4 linked regions of the Saccharomyces cerevisiae S288C genome follow. The protein of the gene in region 1 interacts with the protein of each later gene in a pairwise test. Each region holds a gene or a part of one and is shown in the gene's direction. Other genes may lie near its edges. The genes, in order: RIO1, AFR1, FMP33 and MST28.

Region 1 (4,149 bases):
AAGCCGGTGAGGCCACCAAGATTGTCGAGCAATTGGCTGACTACTTGATTGGTGTTCAATACTAATTTATGCAGGTAAAGTTTTCTTGCCTTATACACCACCTATTCTGGCATCTGCGGGATTTCGCTTCCTATTTTACAAATATTTTATTGATTGACGCTAATTATCACTGTAAAAGGCGCACTTTTTATATGTAGTCACATCCGGTATTTAACATATTTACGAAACAGTCTTAAGAATATCGACATTTGATATACTTATGTTTAATTTATCTACATATTACAATCATACGAGAAACACGCAAAAACAATTACTTGAATACTTCGAAAGGAGACCAATTTGGATGTACAACCCTTTTTTCGCCCTTTTCCTTCGATATGTTATTGATAGCTTCAAAGTCCTCAGTAGACAAAGTAAATATTTTCCTGTTCGTTTTGATTCGATCGGGATTCACAGATTTTGGCAAGACAACATAACCTCTTTGGACGTGCCAGCTAATAACAACGTGTCCGGGTTGAACGTTATTTTTCTTCGCAATTTCAAGGATAACCGGTTCCTTCAATAGTGGAGCATCGGTACTACCTAACGGAGAATAAGCTTCAACCACAATGCCTTTACTTTTACAAAAATTAATCAATTCGTCTTGAGGTAGTAATGGATGTATTTCGACTTGGTTAGCAGCTGGCGTAAGCTTATTACCTTGAGATGCTAATAGATCTTTCAGGTTATTTATAGAAAAGTTGGAGACTCCAACGGCCTTAGTTTTACCAGTCTTTGGTAGTTCCTGCATTAATTCCCAGGTTTTGATGAAATTCCAATTGGTGATATCCACTGCACGAGAACCATCCTTCTTTGTTGGCACACTCAAGATGTCTTCATTTTTGATGTAGGCTGGATCTAATCTGGCAGGCCAATGCATCAAATATAAGTCTACGTAGTCCAATCCTAACCTCTTTAGTGATTGATCCAGCGCTACTTCAGGTTCGTGGTGTTGTGTACACCATAACTTTGTAGTAACAAAGATTTCTTCCCGAGGAACACCTGAATCCTTGATGGCTTGACCGACTTGGTCTTCATTACGGTAAATAGCAGCAGTATCAATGTGTCGGTAGCCATCTTTCAAAGCGGTTAAAACAGCCTTATAAGCATCGTTCTCTTTCGACTGCCACGTACCTAAACCTATTTGAGGGATTTGGGCTCCAGTATTTAGAGAAAGGATTTTCGTAGAATCATGTAAAGTAGCAGGCATTTTTCTATCTTAATTTAGTAATGAGAGCTGTCCAAATTTTAGCTTGCTAAGATGCACCTATTAAGCTCTCATCCTGAATCAAGTCATTAGAATGTCTTGATTCTCCCGGTTTTATACGCCCAGTAAAGCAATTCTTTACTGCCGTAGTCTTTTCCTGAAAGCTCGGTTTCTACTCTAGGGAATTAAGGAGAGCAGCGGTGTGCGATTCGTCACACGGGTGAATGCCTGATAGGCATATTATTAAGCCGTGTTTGCAATCTGCGTGCTAGATTGATTCTACCCCTTTCTGAGAAGGCGAAATGACCTTGCTATGACAATGAGGGAGAAAAGACCGCCCTTCCTTGTTCTTCCCCGGAATAGTCTGCCCCGATTGTTCGCCGGTGTTATAACTTACAATTCTTATACACTCCATAGGAAGTTTGTTGACAAGAGTTAAGTTTCAAATATCTAAAGCCAGGAAGTATGATCACCCAAGCATATCCATTGCAATATGTAAGACATTCAAGCGGATTTCTGGGACTTTAGAAAGTGAAATTTAAAAAAAAAAAAATTTAACAGAGGTCATACTTCCAAAAAAAAAAAAATGTAGAACTGGGCGAAATATCATCAGCTCATTCACTCTAATGCGGCCCTTCTGTAACCTCGAGCAAAGAGCCCAAATAACTTCATCTCTTCTCTCTTACGAACTGAAATATTCTCATGTTACCTATTGAGTAGTTGCGGGGACATTGGCGCGCGCAGAAAGAGTGAAAAATTTTATAGTGGAATATAGAAATTGAGATGAGATGAGATACTAAGACTAAAAATAATAGTAAAAAGAAGTTAAAACAGATTTAGAGATTCAAACTCCGTTATTTTTAGAAGGTCATGTCCTTGGAAGATAAATTTGATTCATTGTCTGTGTCGCAAGGTGCCTCGGACCATATTAATAATCAGCTCTTAGAGAAGTATAGTCACAAAATAAAAACTGATGAATTATCATTCAGCAGAGCGAAAACATCAAAGGATAAAGCAAATAGGGCGACTGTGGAAAATGTCTTAGATCCGAGAACTATGAGATTTTTGAAGTCTATGGTCACCAGAGGTGTGATTGCAGATTTGAACGGTTGCTTAAGTACTGGGAAAGAAGCTAATGTTTACCACGCTTTTGCAGGTACCGGTAAGGCACCCGTAATAGATGAGGAAACAGGCCAGTATGAAGTTTTAGAGACAGACGGATCCCGTGCAGAATATGCCATTAAGATTTATAAGACCTCTATCCTAGTCTTCAAAGATCGTGAAAGATATGTTGATGGTGAATTTAGATTTAGAAATTCCAGATCTCAACATAATCCAAGGAAAATGATTAAAATTTGGGCTGAAAAGGAATTTAGGAACCTGAAAAGAATTTATCAAAGTGGCGTCATTCCAGCTCCTAAGCCAATAGAAGTTAAGAACAACGTCTTAGTTATGGAATTTTTAAGCCGAGGTAATGGATTTGCCTCACCTAAATTAAAAGATTATCCGTACAAGAATCGTGATGAAATTTTCCATTATTATCACACAATGGTGGCATATATGAGATTGCTGTACCAAGTTTGTCGCCTGGTTCATGCCGATTTGTCAGAGTATAACACCATAGTTCATGATGATAAACTATATATGATCGATGTTTCCCAAAGTGTGGAACCTGAACATCCAATGAGTTTAGATTTTTTAAGGATGGATATCAAAAACGTTAACCTTTATTTCGAGAAGATGGGTATAAGTATTTTCCCTGAAAGGGTTATTTTTCAATTTGTCATATCAGAAACTTTGGAGAAATTTAAAGGTGATTATAACAATATTAGCGCCTTGGTTGCATACATTGCTAGTAATCTACCAATAAAATCTACAGAACAAGATGAGGCAGAAGATGAAATATTCAGATCGCTGCATTTAGTTAGATCATTGGGTGGATTAGAGGAAAGAGATTTTGATAGGTATACTGATGGTAAGTTTGACTTACTGAAAAGCTTGATTGCCCATGATAATGAACGCAATTTTGCTGCTTCTGAGCAATTTGAATTTGATAACGCTGACCACGAATGTAGTTCTGGCACAGAGGAATTCTCAGATGATGAAGAAGACGGCTCAAGCGGATCTGAAGAAGATGACGAGGAGGAGGGCGAGTACTATGACGATGATGAACCAAAAGTTTTAAAGGGGAAGAAACATGAGGACAAGGATTTAAAAAAATTGCGCAAGCAGGAAGCTAAAGATGCAAAAAGAGAAAAAAGGAAAACAAAAGTCAAGAAGCACATCAAGAAAAAATTGGTGAAAAAAACGAAATCAAAGAAATAATGCGGCCCTGTGAAAATACATTTGGGAATCGTTGTTTGGAGTCGAAGAACAGAAAGTAGGTCAGCAATTTAACGAAGAAAGTTCAAGACTAAAAGTGTAATATCAGTATCAAAAGTTTGGTACTTTTCATACAAGTGCAATAAATATTAAAATAAACAATAGCCTTATTTAGTGGTCTTGATTTTTAGTGAAATCAATCCCAATAACTAAAAACAGCAAAAAAGGCAGGCATCACATTGAACCGCCACCTTGATGTTGGCCAACTAAACCTGCCATTTCCAGTAAGGCACGGTCTTCTCCCAAGCTTCTCAGGTTAATTTGCTGTCTTCTTTTAGATTCTGCTTCTTCCCATTCCAACTGTTTGATTTGCTCTTCTAGTTCTTTCTCACCACCACAGCCCCATACCTCAACATCTTGAATCAAAAAATGCAATTCATAAGGGGAATTTTCCTCCTTTCTTTCCATCGACAATAAACCAGGGTCTAATGAACCTCCGTAACCAGTATTTCTAAACACAGCAAATTCTAATGTGCTGTCAAAAGTAAGCGACACGTTCCCTGGTATGTATCTCTTGGATG
Region 2 (4,264 bases), on another chromosome or scaffold:
ATTCAGTCAATTGAAGTATTTGCAGTCCAGAAACTGGGACAAAAAATTAGTCGACGAGTATATTAAGAAAGTGTTGAGGTGGTTACCTCTGAGTGGAAGTCCAAAGGTCTACACAGGGATTCCAATTCATATCGTCGATATTCTGCTGGACGAATGGGAAAGATTGCTTAAAGATGGAGATGAAGACGATGAAGACGAGGAAAACAAAGAGGAAGAGATGCGCAAAATTGCAGAGAGCGCAAAAAAAACGCCACTAGCCGATGTTATCGCAATTTTCCAAGATATCGTGGCAGATTACAATAACAGTAAGGTGTTGAGAGAGAAGATCAAAGAAGACCTATTCAGTGACACCAGACTTGTTTCCTGGGATATTCTTGAAGGCGAAACGCAACATAATGATTCCAGTAACGAATCTGAAGAAGAGGAAGAGGAAGAGTGGAAGGGATTTTGATTCTTCCTGGCGGTAGTATGTAAGTAATCGTAAGTCGCTCATATAAATTGTAGTTGTATATCTATAGTACGAAAAATTCATTACCCTCTGTGGATATTGGCGGAATGCGAAACACGTCGCCTTTTTTTCCTCGCAACATTTTTTTTATTTTTTTTTCGTTTTGAAATGAAAGAATACTAGTGATTAAATTAAACAAGGAAAATAGTACAGATTGGCGTGTATTGTCCATAACTCGTGTCCATTGTCCGCACTACGCTAGTTTACCAAAGATAAAATCACGTATAACATTGAAAAATAAAATGGCTAGAGCTAGTGAAAAAGGTGAAGAGAAAAAGCAGAGCAACAACCAGGTTGAAAAGCTGGTTGAAGCACCTGTAGAATTTGTCAGAGAAGGTACTCAATTCTTGGCCAAGTGTAAGAAACCTGATTTGAAGGAATACACCAAGATTGTCAAGGCTGTTGGTATTGGTTTTATTGCAGTCGGTATCATTGGTTACGCCATCAAGTTGATTCATATTCCAATCAGATACGTTATTGTTTAAAAGAGATAAAAGACGAGAAAAAATAAAAACAACGGCACCAGAACCAAAAATCAAAATTAAGTAGTATTCTTTATGTGCATTTTTCCCTTTAAATTATAACCTTTCTATCGGTATAGTGTGTATATGTTCAGCCCTATATAAGAATTTACTCTAAAGAGGTGGAAGGCAAGAGTCTTGATTCTTCCCATATAATATTACTGCATTTTCTGTATTAAACATGTTTTCTATTTGCCGAATAAGCATAAACGTATCATTGTTCCTTTCCCTTTATTTAAGCTCCATACCGATCATGGAAAAGCTCTCCAACGACCTTGAAACGAAAAACCGTTCCTTGGCGATATGACGTTTAGCTCCTTGTCAAATTCTTCCGTGCTACCACGTTGCTACCACTGATATGAAACAAGTACGATCCCTGAACGGAACAGCGCCTAAAAATAGATGGGCACTCACTTTTCCTTTTTCGCTGCCTCTTTTTCCCATGCATTTCCTTTTTGAGTAGTACGTCTTATTTTTGATTATATGCTCGACATACCCCAGGTTTCACAAAGGTTTGGCTTCCTTTTAGCACTTTCTCTCTCACCCTTTCAACAAGTTTATTGGGCCCGACTTACCTTGACGACTTTAATGGGACGCCTGCTAAAAGCTTATTCTACATAAATATATATACCGGCTTCATATAATATAGGAACAAAAGAAAAAGAAAACTGGAAAAAGGGAAGGGGCTATCTCATTATCCAGATAGGCCATATTAGGTGTTACCACAAACTGCTGATAATAATGGAGGGCTCATATCTATCTGCACAAGAAAACCAACCCATACCGGAGCGATTGATACCTAGGTCGAACTCAACTTCGAATTTGTTTGCTTTGTCTAGTACATTCTCTAAACTCAATGTTAGGAATGATGCTGATTACAATTATTCGAACCCGAATAAGAAGAGACACATTTATAGTGGCGAGATAGACTGTAGGTCTGTGACAGCAGCTAGAAAATTTCCAGTAAGGTCCTGTTCAATGACAGCCGCCCAGCAAAGAAAGAGAACTGCGCTATTCACAGTTAGGGAAAGAAACTCTTACCATGAGGGGTTCAATAATGATCAAGATTATGTGAGCCAATACCAGAAGCCACAGTACACTTTCGGAGTATATAAAGAATTAACACCTTATCAACTGCAGCGCTCTAAAATGAAAAGAAGCTTTCAATTTCCCAATGGCGAAATATACAAGCCAAAACTTGATGGAAAATGCACCCACAGCTTGAAAAAGCCTGAATTAAATTCAAGAGACTCTTCTTTATTCAAATTCAGCGAGAAGAAAGGTCGCAATTTATCAAAAGATTTTGTGGGGCCTCATAATGGGACATCAGTCATACATATTCCTCCCAATGATACAGGCTACGGTGTAAATAGCTTGGAGCTGAACACTTCAGTTCCTTCAACAATAAAAAGTTCGGTTTCATCAACCTCTCCGATATCTGCTGTTAATACCCTGACCAGCTTGCCAGAAAGTCAAACTGATGATGATGACGGTTATGAAAATAAAACTGTAACTATATCTTATTGCTTCGAAAATACGGTAAATGAAAAACATGGTAGCCATATAGAAAAATTGGATTTATCAACTAAGGAAAAAACTAAGCCAACAACTAATTCAGGCCTATTTGATAGAAAGAAAAAGACTATTCTGGGCACTGAGAAATATAGATGTATAAAGTCACAATCGAAGTTGAAACTGGGTTCTGTTTTGAAGAAATTATGGCGTACTTCAGGAAACTCGAATACAAAGCATGGAAAAAAGGATACAAAAAGAAGGAGAATTCCTATCGATGATATGGTTACGCATTCTGATGGAAATTCTGAAGCTGAGAATGATATTGAATTAATGGATGCAAATCTGGACGGCATTGAATTTGACGACGACGAAACTCTAATGGATACAGATTCAATTTTTGATGATCTGTTGTCCAAGGAAAATGATAAATACGATTTGAGGCGAAGGCAATTAGAAATACGACAAAAGCTCCACGAGACCTCGCACAACGACGATGGCAAGGTTTCTTTTCGAGATACCGAAAAGCATAATGTCAATGAAGGTTTGATCGACAAGACCATAATCGAAGAATTTTCAAAGCTCGGTGAATATATAATCGACACGAGAAATCAACCACCACCAAGATCGTCCAAGAGGCCTTCATTAGATGACAATGAATCTGCACGATACTTCTACAACATATCGACAGATTTGCGACAGTCTCTGTCAGGTCCAATAAGCTTACCAATGCATGTTGGGAACGACATGGTAAATAGGTTGAGAAATGACTGGGAGTATATCAGATTCGAAGATAGAAGGAATTCGCTGCCAGATTCCTCATTTGATAAAGTCGAAACACCTCCAAAACCAATAAAAAAAGATGTCCGGTTTGCAAAAGAAGTATGTTTAGCAAGCACTTGGTCATCGAATGCATATGAGAGAGCTAATCCGGAATTCATTATGAATCGCCACAGATTGTTGTGGATGATGAAAGTACATCCAAGCATGAATAGTGCCATGAATGAGATCAAACTTGAACTTAACTCTTACAAAAAAAATGAGATGGTTGTCCATGAGAACAGCAAGTGCTTTACACATTATTTAATTTGAGTTATTAACGTAACATAATCCAGTTTATTTTTTGCAATAGAAGGCGTCATACATATTTATATATCAATGTATACATTCCATTCCAGTTACTTCTTTTGCATCTTGCTTCCTGTTTACCTTGACCTCGAACCTATTATTTGTCCGCAATGCGCCTTTGGGTGAAAAGGGATTTCGTTTCCATTTTAACTGTACATAATGTAAATGTAGAAAAGCGTGGTTCTTAAAGGATTTACGGTTCAATACGCTTTTATAAACCTGCTGGTGCTCTAATTACGAATGAAACATGGACCAGGCAAGAAATTTCTACAACACAATTTTAAAATCGTCGCACCCGTTGCTACTATCATTTCATCTGGCAGGTAAGGCAGTTCCCATTGTATTTTATATCATAGGATCAATGTTTTTGAATTTCACACCTCAATTCATCACTGTCGTTCTTTTACTTTCTTTTGACTTTTACTTAACAAAAAACATTACAGGTCGGAAACTGGTCCAATTACGCTGGTGGTATGATTCTACAGATGTGAACAAAGATTCTAATTTTACTTTCGAATCATATAAGCAATATGCGCCGGGCCCACCAATAAATGCCATCGATTCTAAGTTATTCTGGTGGTCGATGTATGTGACA
Region 3 (2,804 bases), on another chromosome or scaffold:
TTGATGTCAAGCCTAATATGGAATAATAGGTTGTTCTATCTAATTGTGGTTCTATTACCTGTGACATAAGAATAGTACAGTGTACAATAGCATAAACTGAAGAAGCACTTTGCTACAGTCTATATTGAACATTCCAGGTCTATTTACGCTCATGCCTCAAAAAAAGTTTAAAGGCATCGCACGGTATTGTATTTTCAAGATGTCCGCACCGAATCGGTATTGTAAAAGTTTCACAATATTGAACATCTAGCACAATGATCAACTGAATTGAGGACAAACAGATAATTTTCGTGTGATATTATATTTTAATAGGATAAAGGTGAACTACTACAAACTATTTCAAAAAATAACTATTTAGCTAATCACATAAAAAATACTCCGATACGGGGAGTCGAACCCCGGTCTCCACGGTGAAAGCGTGATGTGATAGCCGTTACACTATATCGGATTATAAACGGTTAATATTCAACACCTAATAGTACTACTTACCAAATTAACAAGAGGATCATCTTTCCCATATGATAATAGACACCGGCTCTAAACTCAACTGTTCTGTACTAGTTGTTTTGATAGAATTTTTTTTACAAATCTGCCCAAAGTACGTTTTCCTAGTTTCATGCCTGTGCAACGCCGCAGCGCTAACCTGTGCAGGACAGATATGTAAATTGGAATCTTAACAGCAACAGAGACTCTCTCAAAACCGATACCAGAACTCAACCGCACTTCGTTATCCATAAATGTTGCCTTAGCCGAATGCAATACATCCCTTATAAAATCAATACAATGCGAAACTTAACACAATGCTAGTCGCTAACCACGACAAATTTCTTGCACCTCCAAATCTGCCTTTGTCCCTCTCCCACATCTTAACTATACCAGAAATGCCTCTCTGTTCTGCAAAAAACCTGTGTTCCTGCTATTAGATGAGGTAAATTCAAAACATTACATGCCATATCTTCTTCTAGACGACTACACCTCTAATTACATCAACAAATTTTAAACTTATATCGTCTAGAGTGATCCTTTCGCTAGAAATGGTAATAACTACTGCCATTGGAATCATAGTTTACAGAATATTGCGAGTTTGCTCTATATTAGATATTTATAAACGCTAGGATGGAACCGAGGGCTGCCACGATGCTTAAAAAATTACAGTGCAGCAACTCCGATGCCATTAATCTATCATAAAGTCTGGCGGCGTATTCCTTGCACAATTTTCATATCTTCCCATATGAATACCTGTTAGTCCGTATCACCAAGTGTAAACTGTTCTTTACAATGAGAACATCTAGAGTCTTTCTGATATGCGTAACTTCTGCCTCATTAATTTAAAAATTTCTTCATAGTAAATAGCTTATTTGCTTGGAGCAGATGATCGACATGTATTTTTAGGAACATAAACTGCCTAAATATAATAGATCAGCCTAAAAATAAGAATGCCAATCAACAAAGTTGTATTTCCTATCTTCCGATATTCGCAGTCCACCATTCAGACCTCTGGTGAGATAGTTTGCCTGCTTTTGCTCCCTTCCAAAGTGCTGATAAAAACCTCCGTGATTTTTTGAATACTCCCCTGAATGTCTATTTTAAGTATATTATAAAATTAGTTTAAGTTGGTGCGGATAACGAAAACTTGATGCAAGGTAAATAAATCAAGTATATCATAGAGTTCTTTCATTCATATGCTATACACAAGGTTGTTACGTCACAACTCACAATTCACCAAGTTTTCAGGCACATCGCCCAATCTTGGCTCAAAACCTTTATTTTCGAAGGGTAATTTGTACACTAGTCTTTTAGTGACAACACTGTATGGGACAGGTCTGGCATGCCTATATCTAGAATCAAATAGCTTGAATAAGTCCAAAGAGCAAGAAGATCCCCATGCCATCGCAGAAGACGACATTGTAAATATAGTCCATGACGCTCCCAATAGAATATTCAAGCCAGCACTTGATACCTATCAAGAGAAAGAGCTTGACTTACAAAAGAGTGACCTCCATAAAGTACTTCATTCTTTGACGTACAGTGATGTCTCTCAATTTTCGATTGTTTGGGGGTTTCTCATTCAACTTTCGAGCCTAATAGGCAATTCCACCTTAGGCAAAAAATCCATTCTTTATAAGGGAAGTGTCGTTAGTGTTTTAGGGTTCCCACCGTTGATTTATATGGCACTTAAACTTAGGATGAAACAGCTGGAAAAAGCTGGAGTGCGCTTTGAGTAATGCAGAAGGCAACATCTCCGAAAATAAAAACGATGAAGTAAATGAAAACTCGTTTGTGAATACGTAAAATTATAACGCGCCCCATACATAGTAAGACAGACTTACTTTTATACTATTATTTTAGTTATATTTTTGAAGTACAATCAAGACCTGCAAGATTATAATGTTGGTGATTCAACAATCGACGAGACCAACTGTTTGTAAATGAACGGGATTGCACTGGCCCCCGATAGACTGATCGTAAAGGTTATAGAAAGTGCCCGACAGACATTGGTAAAACACGTCATTATCACCAATAGCTAAAGTGCCATGCTTCGTTATCGACCAGCCGCCAGCGTAAATAGCGCCCGCCTGTGGAGGTGGACCATCAAATTGGAACTGTCTGTTTGCTACTATCGATCCAATTCTACCACTGGAGTCAATAAGAACACCTCCTTGTAACGTTATTGCCAAGGTGCCAGAACTTTTACAGGCTTGCACCTTGATCACTTTTTCATTATTTGGTTTCTTTGTTGGCTCTAACTTACTCTTGGAAAGCACAGAACTACTACTGGCTGAAGAAATAGTAACTTGCACTTG
Region 4 (2,997 bases), on another chromosome or scaffold:
GAAGATTTTCAAAATTGCTTTCCAAGACAGCGGATATTGTAGAACAATCTCAAGTGAAGTATTGGCAAGATATTGGTGCAATTATTTGAAAGGAAGGAGAAATATTCTGACAGTACCTTGCTAGCAAAGGGATTTACCAATCCACTGACGCTAAAATGGGGTAGTAAATTAGATAAATTGCATTCTAACGTGACTTTATATAGTGGGAAACAGATATGTAGCACACAAAACGGCATGATTATGCTTAATTGATTCCTATTTTTTAACGTAAATACTCTCCCAGAACGATCAGAAAACTTAACCCGCAACCATCTTTGCTGTGCTAACAACTTATGTCGCCTCAATACCATTTTTATTTTGTATCATTCCGGAACTTAGTATTGAATGAAAAATGCCTCCGAAGTAAAAAGCAGGTGATGAAAAGTTTCAATTGGTATAAGACAGATCGCTATTTTGATCCGCATAACATCCTTCAACACCATAGCAGAGCTATAGAGAAGACAAGATATAAACTGGGCATGCAAACATCTTCAGAAAGTACCGACGCCAAGTCGGATTTTCTCGACGAACCCAGTGCATATTTAATTGAGAAAAATGTGGCTCTTCCCAAGGACATATTCGGTTCGTACTTAAGTTATTGGATATATGAAGTTACTCGTCATAAAGCGGCAGTAATTTTGCTCGTACTTATTGTGACTTCAATTTTATTATTAGTGTTTTTTTATAATACGGAATTTTGCGTTGCCTTTGAGATACTATTGTTTTCCTTTTGCTTTCCAGGAACATGCATGGTTGTAATTGCATTTAGTGAACCGATCGGTGATCGGGAATTTAAAGTTAAGCTTCTGATGGAAATTATCACACGTAAACCGGCGGTAAAGGGGAAAGAATGGAGGACAATTACATACAAGATGAACCAGTATTTATTTGATCATGGGCTATGGGATACTCCCTACTACTTTTACCGTGATGAAGATTGCCACCGTTATTTTCTAAGTCTTATTAAGGGAAGAACTTTCAAGAAGCAAAAGGAATCGTCAGCCAGCAATGTTAAAGACGCACAATCAAATGACGAAACCGCTGGCACACCAAACGAAGCCGCTGAGTCTTCTAGTTTTAGTGCCGGACCGAACTTTATAAAGCTCCTCACCAAGGCAGCCGAAATCGAACAACAATTTCAAAAGGAATATTGGCGACAAGAGTATCCTGGTGTCGATGAGTTTTTTTAGACAGAAGACGGGAGACACTAGCACACAACTTTACCAGGCAAGGTATTTGACGCTAGCATGTGTCCAATTCAGTGTCATTTATGATTTTTTGTAGTAGGATATAAATATATACAGCGCTCCAAATAGTGCGGTTGCCCCAAAAACACCACGGAACCTCATCTGTTCTCGTACTTTGTTGTGACAAAGTAGCTCACTGCCTTATTATCACATTTTCATTATGCAACGCTTCGGAAAATACGATGTTGAAAATGCCTCTAGAGATGAAAAACAATCGTAAAAGGGTCCTGCGTAATTGAAACATTTGATCAGTATGCAGTGGCACAGAAACAACCAGGAATACTATAGTCATAGGCAATACAAGGTATATATTGGCTATGCAGACCCCTCCAGAAAGTACCGACGTCAAGTTAGATACACTTAACGAACCTAGTGCACATTTAATTGAGAAAAATGTGGCTCTTCCTAAGGACATATTCCGTTCGTACTTGAGTTATTGGATCTATGAAATCGCTCGCTATACACCAGTCATGATTTTGTCCCTGGTAATAGGGGTTTTGGTTTTATTAATTATATTTTTTAATGACAACGAAGCTTGTGTTTTCAATTCTGCAATATTTGCTTTTACTTCTCTTGTAGGTTTGTTAATAATATTAAGTGATGGTAATCCAAAGCTAGTCAGTCGTCGAAATTTTAGGACCGAGCTTTTAGTGGATGTCATCACACGTAAACCGGCGGTAGAAGGGAAAGAATGGAGGATCATCACATACAACATGAACCAATATTTGTTTAATCATGGGCAATGGCATACTCCGTATTACTTTTACAGCGATGAGGATTGCTACCGTTATTTTCTACGCCTTGTTGAGGGAGTAACCCCCAAGAAGCAAACAGCCACGTCAATTGGCAATTCTCCGGTCACCGCTAAGCCTGAAGATGCCATCGAGTCAGCTTCTCCTAGTTCCAGACTGAATTATCAAAACTTTTTGCTCAAGGCAGCGGAGATCGAACGACAAGCTCAGGAAAATTACTGGCGAAGGCGGCATCCCAATATCGATGCGCTTCTTAAAAAGACGGAATAGCTTAGAGACACTACCATACGTAAAGCGAACATAAACTAGAGTATGATATATAATCAGCACTAACTGGCCGGAAAACGGCCGAAGGAAGCCTCGAAAAGTCGATTCGTGTTGGACCCATTTGCTGAACAAAGTGGTTCATTGCCTACCTATTATGGTAGTAGTCGTGATAATCGTGTGGTTGGTTTTGTCAACGGTGCATTTGCATTTTCATGACAATAAACCTTGCGTTTTCGTTCTCGGGATATTACTTTCCCTCCACTTCTTTCGCCTCAATAGCTCCTATAAGCATTCTCAGGGCGTATGTCGGTGATCGAGATTTCCAAGCAAGCTTTTAGTGGAAATCATCGCGCGCAAGCCAGCGGTAAAGGGAAAAGAACGGAGGACGATTACATACAAGATGAACGAATAAATAAATTAATAATAAATAATAATAAAAAGTACAGTAGCATTAAATATTATTAAGTTTAATGATTAAAAATTGGTTAATTGTCAAGAAAATCTAAGGTATTAATAAATAAATAATACTATGACAACTTGCAGCGAAAGCATCAGCCCCAATGAAAATTAATCAGAATTGAATCTGAGCGTATTTATTTGATAACGGTTTACGTAACTGTTGGAATAAAAATCAACTATCATCTACTAACTAGTGTTTACGTTACTAGTATATTATCATATACGGTGTTAGA

What was found.
Region 2: the proteins of RIO1 (region 1) and AFR1 interact in a two-hybrid assay, tested with the Saccharomyces cerevisiae proteins (one study listed by BioGRID).
Region 3: the proteins of RIO1 (region 1) and FMP33 interact in a two-hybrid assay, tested with the Saccharomyces cerevisiae proteins (one study listed by BioGRID).
Region 4: the proteins of RIO1 (region 1) and MST28 interact in a two-hybrid assay, tested with the Saccharomyces cerevisiae proteins (one study listed by BioGRID).

The regions. Positions count from the first base shown.
Region 1 is NC_001147.6:548,214-552,362, reverse strand, and holds RIO1 (protein kinase RIO1), read left to right. Parts: upstream 1-2,116; coding exon 2,117-3,571; downstream 3,572-4,149. Other genes in the region: PFY1 (profilin), read left to right, coding at 1-65; glycerol 2-dehydrogenase (NADP(+)) GCY1, read right to left, coding at 311-1,249; RTC5 (Rtc5p), read right to left, coding at 3,803-4,149. UniProt on the Saccharomyces cerevisiae protein: Required for the final endonucleolytic cleavage at site D converting 20S pre-rRNA into the mature 18S rRNA. Required for the final steps of cytoplasmic maturation of the 40S ribosomal subunit.
Region 2 is NC_001136.10:613,657-617,920, reverse strand, and holds AFR1 (Afr1p), read left to right. Parts: upstream 1-1,770; coding exon 1,771-3,633; downstream 3,634-4,264. Other genes in the region: RRP1 (Rrp1p), read left to right, coding at 1-451; translocon subunit SSS1, read left to right, coding at 751-993; TVP23 (Tvp23p), read left to right, coding at 3,917-4,264. UniProt on the Saccharomyces cerevisiae protein: Acts in conjunction with the alpha-factor receptor to promote morphogenesis and adaptation.
Region 3 is NC_001142.9:115,563-118,366, forward strand, and holds FMP33 (Fmp33p), read left to right. Parts: upstream 1-1,682; coding exon 1,683-2,225; downstream 2,226-2,804. Other genes in the region: JJJ2 (Jjj2p), read right to left, coding at 1-67; PIR5 (beta-1,3-glucan linked protein), read right to left, coding at 2,400-2,804.
Region 4 is NC_001133.9:186,504-189,500, forward strand, and holds MST28 (DUP240 family protein MST28), read left to right. Parts: upstream 1-1,603; coding exon 1,604-2,308; downstream 2,309-2,997. Other genes in the region: DFP2 (DUP240 family protein), read left to right, coding at 1-42; pheromone-regulated DUP240 family protein PRM9, read left to right, coding at 333-1,229. UniProt on the Saccharomyces cerevisiae protein: Involved in protein trafficking vesicle formation, probably by stabilizing of coatomer at the Golgi membrane and thus allowing the efficient formation of COPI coated vesicles.